Kluyveromyces lactis: one gene and its partners. The protein of the gene in region 2 purifies or fractionates together with the protein of the main gene of each other region. This does not show direct contact. Links are inferred from orthologs where the notes say so. Each region holds a gene or a part of one and is shown on either strand. Other genes may lie near its edges.

Region 1 (3,830 bases), on a different chromosome or scaffold from region 2:
CTTTGTCTCCGACTTTTGAACTAGAGTATCGGACGCTGGCCGCAAATCCATGGCAAACAATGGGGTACCGGTGTACTCCTTGTAAGAAAAACTGCTGTCACCATCCATCAACCCTAAAAACGTTATTGTGAACCCGGATTCAACTAACCATCCTCTCTCGGTATCCATGACAGATCTTATCTTGTTTAGTAAGCCTGGCCATTCCGAGTAGTTAGGACAACCTTGATGTCCTAACATTAATAAATTGGTACCAGACTTGTCACTAGTCTCAGTTGCGAATGCTGCCCCATTGATAAACGGTACAAACTGAGTACTTCCATGTTCGAACGCTTGCTTGATGAAAACCTCGTCGTCCCTTAGGAATGACACTCTATTGATAGTTTCCAATCCGAAAAAGGTTACACTTCTTTCCATATGTACTGCGCTATCAGGCTAACCACACTATACGGGTACTAAATTGATCGAACTCCAAGTACAACAACCTCTCCAGCGATCAAAACGACAATGCGACTAGGTTGTGCACTGAATATACACGTATAAATCCAACTGTTCCCGGTCATTATGTGGATGTGACTGCAAACCATGCTTTGGAAATTACCCTACCATATATCACGTGATCATAAGTTTCTACTATCCCCTTCGTAGAAAAAAGAAACACTATTATTTTTTGTACCAAAAATTGAAATTGAAATCAACTTAACCACAATTAATCACCATGTTTGATATTTCATTGGTGGAGTTAGAGCATTAGACGGAGAATTTAGTGGGCCATTTGGTGTCATAACACAGGTTAACTGATACGGAAACTCAGATATCAAAGTATAGTTTCAAAACGTCCATCTTTCCCCAACTATATACTTAGGAATTTGACCTTTTTTTTGGTCTCTGTTTTGGTTTATTTTTTTTTTTTTTTCATTTCAGAACTTCAGGTTTAGTTGCAGAATTTCCCTCTCAATTTTGTGAAGTTGAGAAGCAATAAAGCAACAAGCAACTGACATATCTCACTGTACGTTTGTTTCCAGTTGAGTTTGATTATAGGATAAAAATATCTTACTTGATATTTCTGGTATTTGAGCTTGTACATGAGAACGTGGATATAAAGACTTATTTTGAGGTTCTGCGGTATATATACTTTCATTTGATTAGAAATATTGAAGGTAAGACGTGAACAGGAGAAGACAGACATAAGGAACGAAAAAGAAAGATGGATTTAAGAGTTGGTAGAAAGTTCAGGATTGGGCGGAAGATTGGCTCTGGTTCCTTTGGGGACATTTATCATGGGACTAATTTGATTAGTGGTGAAGAAGTCGCTATTAAGTTGGAGCCGATTCGTACGAAGCATCCTCAATTAGACTATGAGTCTCGAGTTTATAAGTATTTGAGCGGCGGTATTGGAATACCATTCATCAGATGGTTTGGGAAGGAAGGTGAATACAATGCTATGGTGATCGATCTTTTGGGTCCGTCTTTGGAAGATTTATTTAACTATTGTCATAGGAAATTTTCTTTTAAGACCGTAATCATGCTTGCTCTGCAGATGATCTGTCGAATCCAATACATTCATGGCAGATCTTTCATTCATAGAGATATTAAACCGGACAATTTCTTGATGGGTGTCGGAAGACGTGGATCCACCGTGCATGTTATTGATTTTGGTTTATCCAAGAAGTATAGAGATTTTAGAAGTCATAACCATATCCCATACCGAGAAAATAAGAACCTTACTGGTACTGCACGTTATGCCAGTGTCAATACGCATCTTGGGATCGAACAAAGTAGACGTGACGATTTGGAGAGTTTGGGTTACGTGTTGATATATTTCTGCAAAGGGTCCTTACCATGGCAGGGGCTCAGAGCCACGACAAAAAGACAAAAATACGACCGTATCATGGAAAAGAAATTGTGCATCACCGTCGAACAACTATGTCAAGGTTTACCTATGGAATTTGTTGAATACATGAGATATTGTAGGAACCTCAGATTCGATGAAAGACCAGATTATATGTATTTGGCTCGTTTGTTCAAGGATTTGTTCATCAAGTTGGAATACCATAATGATCATTTGTTTGATTGGACCATGTTGCGTTACACAAAAGCCATGATCGACAAACAAGGAGGCGCCCAAGCATTGGAACAAAAAGATGAAAATGGTAATAAACAGGATTCATTTGATAAAGTGAAACAATTGGCTATGAAGAAATTTTCAACACATTTCCACTATTGGAAACCAGATGATACTTCTCATCCAACTGCTGAAGACATAAAACAACAGACTATCCTAAACACCCAAGTTATCTCCACGATCCCAGATGAAGTCATGAATGCTATCGACAGAAACATGGAACAGTTGAAGCACGAAGTGAACCAACAGGTGGCGTCTCAACCACAACAAGGACAACCACAAGGACAAACTCAGGGACAAGGACAAACTCAGGGACAAGGACAACCACAATCAGGTCAGCAACTAGATACACAGTTACCTCAACCTACCACGTTACTACAACAGCAAAGGGCACAAGTTCAAGGTCAACAAGAACAGATGTTACAACAGCAACAACAACAACAACAACAACAGCAGCAACAACAGCAGCAACAACAGCTTCTGCAACAGCAACTGCAAACACAACAACAAACGCATCCAAATGCAATGGCTATCACCAACCCACTACCAAACCCTAATAACACCACCAAAACTACCACTACCAATAATATCTGGCTTTAAACGCAAAAGACGAAAACAATGCGCAAACAGTTGCAAAATCTGTAGAGTAGAAAAAATCACACACGCTCATACATATATACAACTCATCATCAGTTAATCATGGGCTTCTAACCCACATTGGTTATAAATTATAACTCGGAAATCTGTTACCTAATTCACACTTATATTTCTTTCTTATATGTACTTGAATAGTGGAACATGGGGGAGAACACACACAGGGATTTTCTCACCAACATGAGCAACCATGAAAGTAAGCTGGTTACTGAATCGGCAGCTGACACAGGTTTACGGTACTCGCAGTTCACAGCTCATTGTTGCTGCTGCTGAAGTTTCCCTCCTCATCCTTGGCAAGGCCATTATCGCAATATACGAATTCCACTACTAAATATCGAAAAAGGGTTTCTGTTCCTCACATGAACAGTGAATTGTGAAAAACTAGACCAAAGGAAAACTAACAACAAAAGGAGAGTCAACTGTGGTGAGAAAAAGAGAGCAATCTAGGGCGCATTGAGTCTTGAAAAAGTGCAATATCCATATAAGACTATCAGTCCAAAGCTATAATTAAGGCAAAAACTGGTTTGTCCCATTTTGTACTGTTTATTCATTAGAGTAAACTAGGGGATTTTGACCCCAAGGGAAAAGGAAAACAAGAGGATGGAATATCAGCCTGTGAATTTACAACAGATGAATACTGCTCCAGCTCCTGCAACCAATCCTGTGAATCCGGCGGATGTGACCGTGGGTTCACAATCTACCGATTATTTATTGGCTCAGCAGAAGGAATCGTTGTTGCCTCAAAGGTCTACTGTGTCTAAGGGGAAATATACGTTGCATGATTTTCAAATCATGCGTACATTGGGAACAGGGTCATTCGGTAGAGTGCATCTCGTGAGGAGTGTGCACAATGGACGTTACTATGCCATCAAAGTTTTGAAAAAACATCAAATCATTCGAATGAAGCAAATTGAGCATACGAATGATGAAAGACGGATGTTAAAGCTGGTTGAACATCCTTTCTTAATTCGGATGTGGGGTACGTTCCAGGATTCTCGTAATCTATTCATGGTTATGGATTATATCGAAGGTGGTGAATTGTTCTCGTTGCTCA
Region 2 (5,935 bases):
TTCATCTGAACGATATCACCATTAGGATTCTAGAAGTACTATAATATTATGGTCATTAAAACTTATAGCAGAGATAAATATTTGCATGTATTATAAACAGGATGATGATAAACAATATGTACATTTAAAGGATATTAATTTATTAGGTAGTAATCTGTTCTCAACAACAGATTTTAGAAGATATTAAGATCTTCGTGAGAGATATCACGGGGATACAAAACGTAAGAAATGGCAATCTTCATCAATAGAATGATTTAGAAAGTGAACCAGTTATTAGGGAAAGAAAGCGTGGTTATCAAATGCAAATATTCGAGGCAGAACAATTTTTTTTGTCTTGCTTTCCCAAGTTGAGGCTGACATACATCTATATCTGAATTTTTTCCACCAAAGTTGCTAACTTTTCAACACTAGCCAAATGCCTGTTACCCAAAGTGTTATTTTTATTGGATTTATCCAAATAGGATCTGATGGAAATAACAATCAACCTCTCATCTTCACCAGTTGCGACACCCACGAGCTTTTGAACAACGTAGTTCGCGTATTGATCCCGCATCATTAGAATCAATGGTGCATTATCTTCCAAATCAGCGGCGTGCTCTTCGTCTCTTGGTAGAATTTGATCCAAAATCTGTCTTATCTGGTTTTTGGATCCGTAAACTACTGACTTTTCAACAACATTGGAGGCAAATTTGTGTTTTGAATATTCAACAACATTCTTACGAATGATATCGATGATATTTTGTTTACTCATTCCTATGTGACTGCTCGTATCTTCAGTTCCATGCTGTAAAATATGCTGAATTACGTAGTTACCGTATTGATCCTGGATCAAGAATGGGATGAATTCATCCAAGTCATTCAAAATATCATCTTGGTCCTTTAGAGTTCCAAATTCCAATAGTCTTTGAACTACACGGCAACCGTAAGAATGCGTTGATAAATGATAGATTTGTCCTCTTAAACTTTGGAGAATAAATGGTAATTTTTCAATCGGAATACACTCGATGGCTTTTTGTATAACATGGTTACCATTCTGGTCTTTGATCATAGCTAAAACACAATGGGAAAGTTCAGATACGAGATCAACCTTTTGATCTTCATTTAGGAATTCAAATGCCTTTTGTATAACACGGCAAGCATACATTTCTAACGACAAGTTCTCCATTTTGCCTCTGAATTGATCCACTAATACCTCCCTTTGTGTTTTTGTACCATGTTCAAAGAATTTTTGAATGACATAGTTACCGAACACGTCATGAGATAATGGTATACATTGGTCTCTAATCTCATTGAAGATTACTTCCTTATCAGCATCAGAAGCTGTTGCCAATTCCTGTTGGATAAATCTGGAACCATGTTGATCTTTACAGAACTCTAAAGCGGAGCCGTAAATATCGCTAAGTTTGTAAACTTTATTGGAAGAATTGTTCCTGAATTCCTCCAATAATGGGGATCTAACGATAGGCTGTTTGTTATTCTGGCGAGCATTTTTACCTTGGCGACCCTGTTTGTTTGCACCTGAACCTGAAGAACTTTGCAAAGTGTTTGGGGGCACTGCCATACCTGCCCTACTTGGTGGCGGAGAGAATTGTGAATATTGAGCCTTACCTGCGTGCAGGTATGGATTTGATTTATTTTTGCCAGAGTATTTAGAATCGTTATTTCTCTTGTTAGAACCGGAACCATTGTCTGCGGATGGAGGGGAGCTTGGAGCGTCTTGTAAGTTACCTGGACGTGGTTGCATAGATGGAGGCATGAACATGTAAGGATTTGGTGGCAAGAAAGTAGGGCTCAAAGGAGGTTTAACAGTTTCACTATCCTTATTATTTTCTGTGTCATCTTCTTTGATTGGAGCATACATGAAAGGATATGGACTGGGGAATGGATAAGGAGCCATTGGATGTGGCATCATCGTTGGATGATTACCTGTTTCACCTGATGTCTCTGATAATTCGGACTCGTGTTGGTTCTTTCTAGAAGCGGAAGCCTCTTTGGTAACACCATCAGTAGTCTCGACATCTTGACTGTTATCGTTGGATCCATTCATACCTGGGAATGGTTGTGGTGGTGGAGACAGCACAGGAGGTAAAAACATGGGCATTCCAAATTGATTAAACCCAGGATAACCATAGTTGAAAGGAGCTGCCTGCTGATTAGCAAACGAGGCAGGGTCATTTGGATCAATGTCCTGGTCACTTGGAAAAGGAGCAGTTTTGCCGTCCTTAGAACGACGGTAAGAGAATTGAGGCTGGAATTGAGGCTGACGTTGATGCAGTGGAGATTGCTGCTGCTGCTGTTGTTGTTGGTAGTGGTATTGTTGTTGCATGTGTTCGGCATTCTGAGGTCTGAATACGGGTGCAGCAGCCACGTTCCAAATGGTAGTAGAATTAGGCTCATTATTTTGCATCGATAAACTTTCACTAACGGAGTCCAACACTTCAGAGGTATCCGACATTCTTCTTGCACCATGCAGCGTCGTATTAGATCCGACTCTCGATAAATGCTCCAAGCCTGTGGTTGCAGATGCTCTTCTCGAGCCAGTACCAGCGTGATTCGAACTCGAAGGAGGCCCACCAACGTTAACACTACCCACACCCACATTCAATTCCACTTCACGAGTACCCTCAGCTAAGGCACGACCAAACCTTTCGAAAAATCCAGATGTAACTGAACTATTATTGACACCGATCGAATTAGAATTAGTCACGCTTCCGTTGTAACTGTTCAAGTTCGGATTATTATTATTTTGGAATTGAGCTGTCAGACCACCAGCGATACTGGCAGAGTAATGGTTCATGGCATTCAATCTATTCTGAGCGTGGGACGAAGAGTTCTCAGGCAGAGACATCCCGCCTACAGACAGAGTAGTTCTCCTCAACATGGGAGAATTCTGTGTATTGAAAAAGATCTCTGAGTCCACATCGCTTCCCGTATTACTATTGAAAGAGGCCCTTCTGAACCCACCAATCTGTTGCTGCTGCTGCGCCTGTACTTGCTGCTGTTGAACCTGCTGCTGTGCTTGTTGCTGTACATTCGGATTTGACAGTGCCGAAAGCGACGAGACTATTGATGCTAATTCAGAATCAATCTGGGTATTATTATCCTTATCGTCAGAAACAGCGGTATTCCAGCCGTTCAGTTGCTCTGAAAGTGACATCTTAACAAGATTTGAGTACTCTAAACCACTGACAACTAACTTGGGAACCGCAAATACCAATATAAAGTAAAAATGCGAAGATCAACGACAATGTAGTATTAACAAAAATTGAGGAACGACAAAGGGAACTCTGGTCCCAAGAAACAAAACAAAGAAAAATGGGGGAAAAAAAAAGTGATACACTAAATGCAGTTCACCCAAGCCTAAGGTACCTGGAGAGTAAAGCTGTAACAAAGGACAAACTCAGAAAAGACTATATATGCCGCGAACTGGAGTGTCCTTTACTCCAGAGTACTTTAATATCCAATGGATAGTTTCAATATCCATAAAAACGTAAATTAAACAAAATATGAAAAGTTCAAAATGTTGATAATCGATAATTCCAGGTTTTCTCATGAAAAGACAATGAAAGCCAGAAGACGAATCCCTCGACGGTTATGTTCCGTTCTTGCAGGGCATAGTTCGACAGGGGAACCAGTTCGGAAAAACCAGAAAAATTAAATCATGTCCGGGTAGTAGTTTTTAAAAGGTCGCCCGTTCGAGTCCCCTATGTTCTCGAATTTTAGTAAAAAAAAAGTATAAATTTATAGGAGTTTCATGATAGGCATTATTTCGAGAACCCGGTCTAGATTGAGACCAAAAGAAATGAAACTAAAAGGAAGGTAAAGGGAAACGAAAAGAAAGAGGAATAACATGTCAGTTCTTCTCCATGTATTCTAGGTCATTAGTTAAGCCTTTTTTTATTTCCTTTTTATGGCTGAGTAGACTGAACTGGACTGGACCGGCTACAAAATGGGAACGCGGAGGAGGGTAACATGGCAGTGCGTGTCCCACGCACTTGCAAACTCACCCAAACTGATCCCTGAGTCCATCCATACTATCTGTCCCTCCACATTTTTGTTTCGGAAAAGATCGGCCAGAGATCTTGTTTCTTGTCCTAGGAGAATAAGAAGAAAAAAGACCAATATTCTGGCCTGGCTAGAATATGATGGGTGTACGACACGTTCTTATTGTTACGAGTAGCGTATTATGAATTAAGTAATAAGAGAAGACGGTGAATGGAACAAACTGAATACATGCCGTGTTCTTGTTCGAAGAATATCCGAGTGAACCGTGATTGTATAATAGAGACGGCCGGAAACATGTGTAGTATCTGTGAATGAGATTTTTGAAATTTTCGGTTAATTCGAAATTTGAAATTTGATGTGATATCAATTCCATATGCTTTATATAACAAGATGAATTTATATATTCCGCAGTATGAGCTGGTTTGAAAGGGAAACTACTACTGCAAGACATATCACAAGTTTCAATACTATTCCATACCATACCAAACGTCCTTTTTCAAGACTAGGATATTCACCGTTAAACTATACACATTTCCGTCTACTGAATCCAGATCCTTTTTCTTTTTTTTCCATTTTAGTTTGAGCTAAATTATACTTCGTCTTTGGGTATATATTACAAGAGACAAGAACACCATCACATTCCTTTCTATTTGTATTAGTTAACTCCTTCACCCTGTTATTGCCAGGCTCAGTTTCGCTCTTTTTTTCATTCAGGTAGCTCCGATACATCATGTCAAAGTCTGAAGATTTTATTATGGAATATACCTCGGAAAATGTCACTGGAGTTGACAACGAGTTCAGTCTCAGTTCCGAAGATGAATACGTCGCGCTAACAAGACTTGCACGGTTCATCAAATCAGCAAATCAGAAACTAGAGAAATTGGAGTCCGTGCTTCCTTCAACTTCTGTCGCTACGACGACAAGTTTGCCCAGACAAGGGTTTAACAAGTTAAGACAAAGAGGCCGTAAATTTTTGAGATGGAACAACAAGCCTGTCGAGGCTGAGAAAGAGGTTTCATATCAAGATTTCATCAACAATCCAGACGCACCAGCGTTTTATAGGTTTTTGAAACGTACCACGGAAGAGTTAACAGCTGTTTTGCCTGAGAATGACACTGAAACTATGATTGCTGAAGAGTTCGAAAGAAGTTTGAACAGGTCTTCAATCACTTCTCCGTTGTTAAAATTCTCACAGATTTACGATGATCATTTCACTTCGTTTGCTTCTAGCTCTACGACTCTTCACTCCTCGACAAAGGATTCTACCAGATCATCATCACAAACTTCATCGAAAATGCCTCGGTTTGACGATAGCATAAGTCATAGTGCTCTTTCGTCTTCACACTCTAACAGTTCAGATGATAACTGTCAAGACAACTCTCGCTACGATTCACATAACGTCTCCTCGTTCTCAATCAACAAATTAAAGCTGGACCGTAGTGAAATGTGTGAACTGGAAACTATCGACGATAAATGCGTCGACATTGATACCCAACAAGTGATCCAAACGCTAGATTTCCTCGACGAACATCTCGACTTGTTCATTGAAGATCCTCACTCAATTAAGAAAACAATACAGTTCTATAACTGGGATAACGCATGCGATCTAGGTCGCCAAAGGCATTTGCATTTCTACGAATTACCATTCCCATGGAGAGAAAACAGGTACATCATCCACGGTTACCGATTTTATGATTCTCATGTAAAATCTGTATTATCGGTCGTCAACTGGTATGGCTGGCATAATGAAACACTAAACATTTGGTCCCATTTGTTCGGTGCAGTTTATTTAGCATACCTTTTGTTCATCCAGTTACCAACCACTAAAGTATTCATGTCCCAAGATGTACCTTTATTTGGTAAACTCATAATCCAAGTTTTTTTGATTGCAGGTGTAAAGTGTTTACTATCATCCTCTGTATGGCATACG
Region 3 (3,618 bases), on a different chromosome or scaffold from region 2:
AATTTCCATTCTACGCCGAGAAACATGGTACTTGGTGGACGGGATCCTTTCAGAAAAAGTCCCTTTAACAATCCCAGATTTATCTTTTCAATCAGCCCTTTTTCCTTTATTCTTTCCACGTTACTGTTCGCTGGATTCATAACAATGATAGTATTTGTTTTGCCTTTCTTACTTGCTTTGCTTTTCCCGATGGTGATATTTGGAATAGGGTGGTATCAATTCAAAGCTTTTAGAACCAGGAAACTTATGCAGCTTTTGGATCATGCTTTCAATCAAACTAAGATGAAGCTTTCATCCACCACAAGGAGAGAATTGATAATGAAGCAAATGGTCCCAAAATTCAAGTCATTTACCCAGCTAAAGGACTTCAGCGGATTCCCCTTCAAGCTCTCTCAAGCATTTACAGATAAGTTTCAATCGGGAGAATTTCCCAACGCAGACAGATTTCTTTCCTTTGTGAAATCGAGATTAGATGAGAGTTTCTATAAAAACGAACACAACATCAAATCCATAGTTTTAGGAAGTGATACAGCTTATGTTCCAGGACACATGGAGTTAGTAACAAACTCGTACTCTTTTGTTTCCAGCGTCAGAAATAACGAAAACATCCAAGCTTTTTCATTTATGCTATTGAACATGGGTTCTGAGGGAGTCCGTAAACCAGTTGCATTGGTTTACATCGTTACAAAGGCAAACCCAGGGGACGAATTGTTGATGTTCACTGGTGACTACATTGATGATTCTAAGTTATCCCCGATGGTCATCTATGTACGTGCTCTCAGCCCATTTTCGAAATGTTGCTTCATTACAGACGTCGGAGAAACTGGAGCAAATGCACAATATAGTGTAAAACGAAAAAAGGACGGCAGTAAAGAATACACGTACGAAAGTGATTAAAAGAACTAACGCCCTCACCTAGGTACTGACATGACATTATTAAGAATCATCACTTCACAAAATCTATTTAAGTTGACACAAACCGTCACAATTTATACATATTCATCAATGAAATAAAAAAGATCATATAACACATATCCAAGCAAACTATAAGATTCATTTGAACCATATGAAAACATGCTTTACATGTAAATCCAACGATTTAGCGGCTATCTTGTGACGTGCCAATAGCTTTATACCTCCTGGATAAATTCTATATGGACAAACATGATCACATGATTTACGTGAAAAACGACATCAACAACATTGGGAAATAGGAGATGTTCTTAAAGAAAGAGAGGAAATAAAGGTTTATTTCATCAGATTTAATAGTGGAACTGGGGTAATTAAATCAAACGGACATTTGTGAGCATCTTCAACCCATTAATAAAGCGAAAATGGACCCACATACTCCAATTGTTCTTGATCAGGGTACTGGTTTCGTGAAAATTGGCCGTGCTGGTGAGAACTTCCCAGATTACACCTTCCCATCCATCGTAGGTAGACCGATTCTTAGAGCTGAAGAAAGAGGTCATGCTTCTACCCCATTGAAAGATATCATGATTGGTGATGAAGCAAGTGAAGTTCGTTCATATTTACAGATTTCGTACCCAATGGAAAATGGTATCATCAGAAACTGGGCAGATATGGAATTACTATGGGATTATGCTTTCTTTGAGCAGATGAAATTGCCAACTACATCCGGCGGTAAGGTACTACTTACCGAACCACCAATGAACCCCATTAAAAACAGAGAACAAATGTGTGAAGTTATGTTCGAGAAGTATGATTTTGGTGGCACATACGTTGCAATTCAAGCCGTTCTAGCTCTATATGCTCAAGGTTTGTCGTCGGGTGTCGTTGTTGATTCCGGTGATGGTGTTACTCACATTGTTCCTGTTTATGAATCCGTTGTTTTGAATCATTTGACAAGAAGGTTAGACGTTGCTGGGAGAGATGTAACCAGACACTTAATTGACCTTTTGTCTCGCCGCGGTTATGCATTCAACAGAACTGCCGATTTCGAAACTGTTCGTCAAATTAAAGAAAAGCTTTGTTATGTATCTTATGATCTAGACTTGGACACAAAATTAGCAAGAGAGACGACTACTCTAGTGGAATCTTATGAATTACCCGATGGGAGAGTCATCAAGGTTGGACCGGAAAGATTCGAGGCACCAGAGTGTTTATTCCAACCAAGTTTAGTTGATGTCGAACAACCAGGTGTGGGTGAACTTTTATTCAACACAATACAAGCAGCAGATGTGGATATCAGAACATCACTTTATAAAGCTATCGTCTTGTCTGGTGGTTCATCCATGTACCCAGGTTTACCTTCAAGGTTGGAAAAAGAACTAAAACAACTATGGTTTACAAGGGTTCTACGCAATGATCCCACACGTTTGGATAAATTCAAGGTCAGAATTGAGGACCCACCAAGAAGAAAGCATATGGTGTTCATTGGTGGTGCCGTCTTAGCGAACATTATGGCCGATAAAGACCACATGTGGTTATCGAAGCAAGAATGGCATGAAATAGGTCCTGCTGCAATGTCAAAGTTTGGACCAAGATAAATGAATGATTAAAACTCTTATATAATAGTACATTTGTATTACGTAGGTAAACTTATTAATGCACCCATAGGTTCATTTGCTGGCTTCTTATGGGAGCACAGCATTCATATGTTGCTTCTTTATTCAATGCAGGAAAAAAAGCCATAAAGACGGCATGTCAGAAGTGCTTTATCCCAGTACTGCCCTCAGTGCAATAGATTAATCTATAATTTAAATTCAGCTAGTTTGTTCCAAACATCTTCAGATAATTCTTCCACACGCTCATTATTGACATGTTTTTGATCGCAACCATAGTTTACTGCATTTTTTATCAAATCATGTATGAAGAATTTTGTTACGGTGACAGGATTAATTAATGCACCACTTAATAGCTGGTCAATTGTAACACGAGATATGGGATTTCTTTCCAAACATGATCTTATAGTGTCAATAACAGTTCTTGGTATCACTGTACCGAAAGAGTCTTTTTCAGGATAAGGAATCTTAACATCAGGATTCATGATCGCATATAACCTATTGTTTCCCTGGAACGTACCATAAGGCGGTTTTCCGTACACCATTTGGTAGAGGATACATCCACAGGACCAAACATCTGATGGTTTACCCACTTTCCATTTGGCTTGTTCACCATCATTCCTTGTGAAGTTCATTGCAACCAAAGTCTCGGGAGCCATATAATTGGGAGTTCCGATCTGGTTGTCTCGATAAATATTTACAGTGTGATCGGGAACCGCATTCGCAATCCCAAAATCAATTATCTTTAACATTCCCTTGACGAAAACAAAATTTGCGGGTTTCAAATCAGAATGGACAATATCAGCATCGTGAACCACCTTCACACATTTTATCATTTCTTGAAAGTGATATCTGACAAATTCCGTATCAAATGGTATTTTGGATCTCTGAGTCAATACTTGGGATAGATCATGTTCACCACATTCCATTAGGAGAAATAAGACACCTTGTCCCATATGATAGTCAATTAACTTAACAACTCGCTGCTTGTTTTCTAGTTTCTTTAGAAGCTCTATTTCCCCTTTGAAGCCATCAATACTGGACTCATCAAATTCATCGAAAGACACGCGTTTCAACGCGTATACCTTGTGAT

The links.
Region 1: the proteins of PUF3 (region 2) and HRR25 purify together in Saccharomyces cerevisiae (affinity purification with mass spectrometry; 4 studies listed by BioGRID, with this or other methods). This does not show direct contact. The link is inferred for Kluyveromyces lactis from reciprocal best matches to the Saccharomyces cerevisiae genes PUF3 and HRR25.
Region 3: the proteins of PUF3 (region 2) and ARP2 purify together in Saccharomyces cerevisiae (affinity purification with western blotting; 3 studies listed by BioGRID, with this or other methods). This does not show direct contact. The link is inferred for Kluyveromyces lactis from reciprocal best matches to the Saccharomyces cerevisiae genes PUF3 and ARP2.

The regions. Positions count from the first base shown.
Region 1 is NC_006040.1:264,557-268,386, forward strand, and holds HRR25 (serine/threonine protein kinase HRR25), read left to right. Parts: upstream 1-1,204; coding exon 1,205-2,722; downstream 2,723-3,830. Other genes in the region: NPY1 (NAD(+) diphosphatase), read right to left, coding at 1-414; cAMP-dependent protein kinase catalytic subunit TPK2, read left to right, coding at 3,377-3,830. UniProt on the Saccharomyces cerevisiae protein: Protein kinase which phosphorylates serine and threonine residues. Can use casein as a substrate. Phosphorylates elongator complex member ELP1/IKI3 on 'Ser-1198' and 'Ser-1202' which promotes the tRNA modification function of the complex.
Region 2 is NC_006042.1:1,428,759-1,434,693, forward strand, and holds PUF3 (mRNA-binding protein PUF3), read right to left. Parts: upstream 3,158-5,935; coding exon 365-3,157; downstream 1-364. Other genes in the region: IZH3 (Izh3p), read left to right, coding at 4,736-5,935. UniProt on the Saccharomyces cerevisiae protein: RNA-binding protein involved in post-transcriptional regulation. Negatively regulates expression of COX17 by binding to the 3'-UTR of COX17 mRNA. Promotes decay of COX17 mRNA by enhancing its rate of deadenylation and subsequent turnover.
Region 3 is NC_006039.1:350,664-354,281, reverse strand, and holds ARP2 (actin-related protein 2), read left to right. Parts: upstream 1-1,334; coding exon 1,335-2,510; downstream 2,511-3,618. Other genes in the region: MRX9 (Mrx9p), read left to right, coding at 1-897; serine/threonine/tyrosine protein kinase MPS1, read right to left, coding at 2,714-3,618. UniProt on the Saccharomyces cerevisiae protein: Functions as ATP-binding component of the Arp2/3 complex which is involved in regulation of actin polymerization and together with an activating nucleation-promoting factor (NPF) mediates the formation of branched actin networks.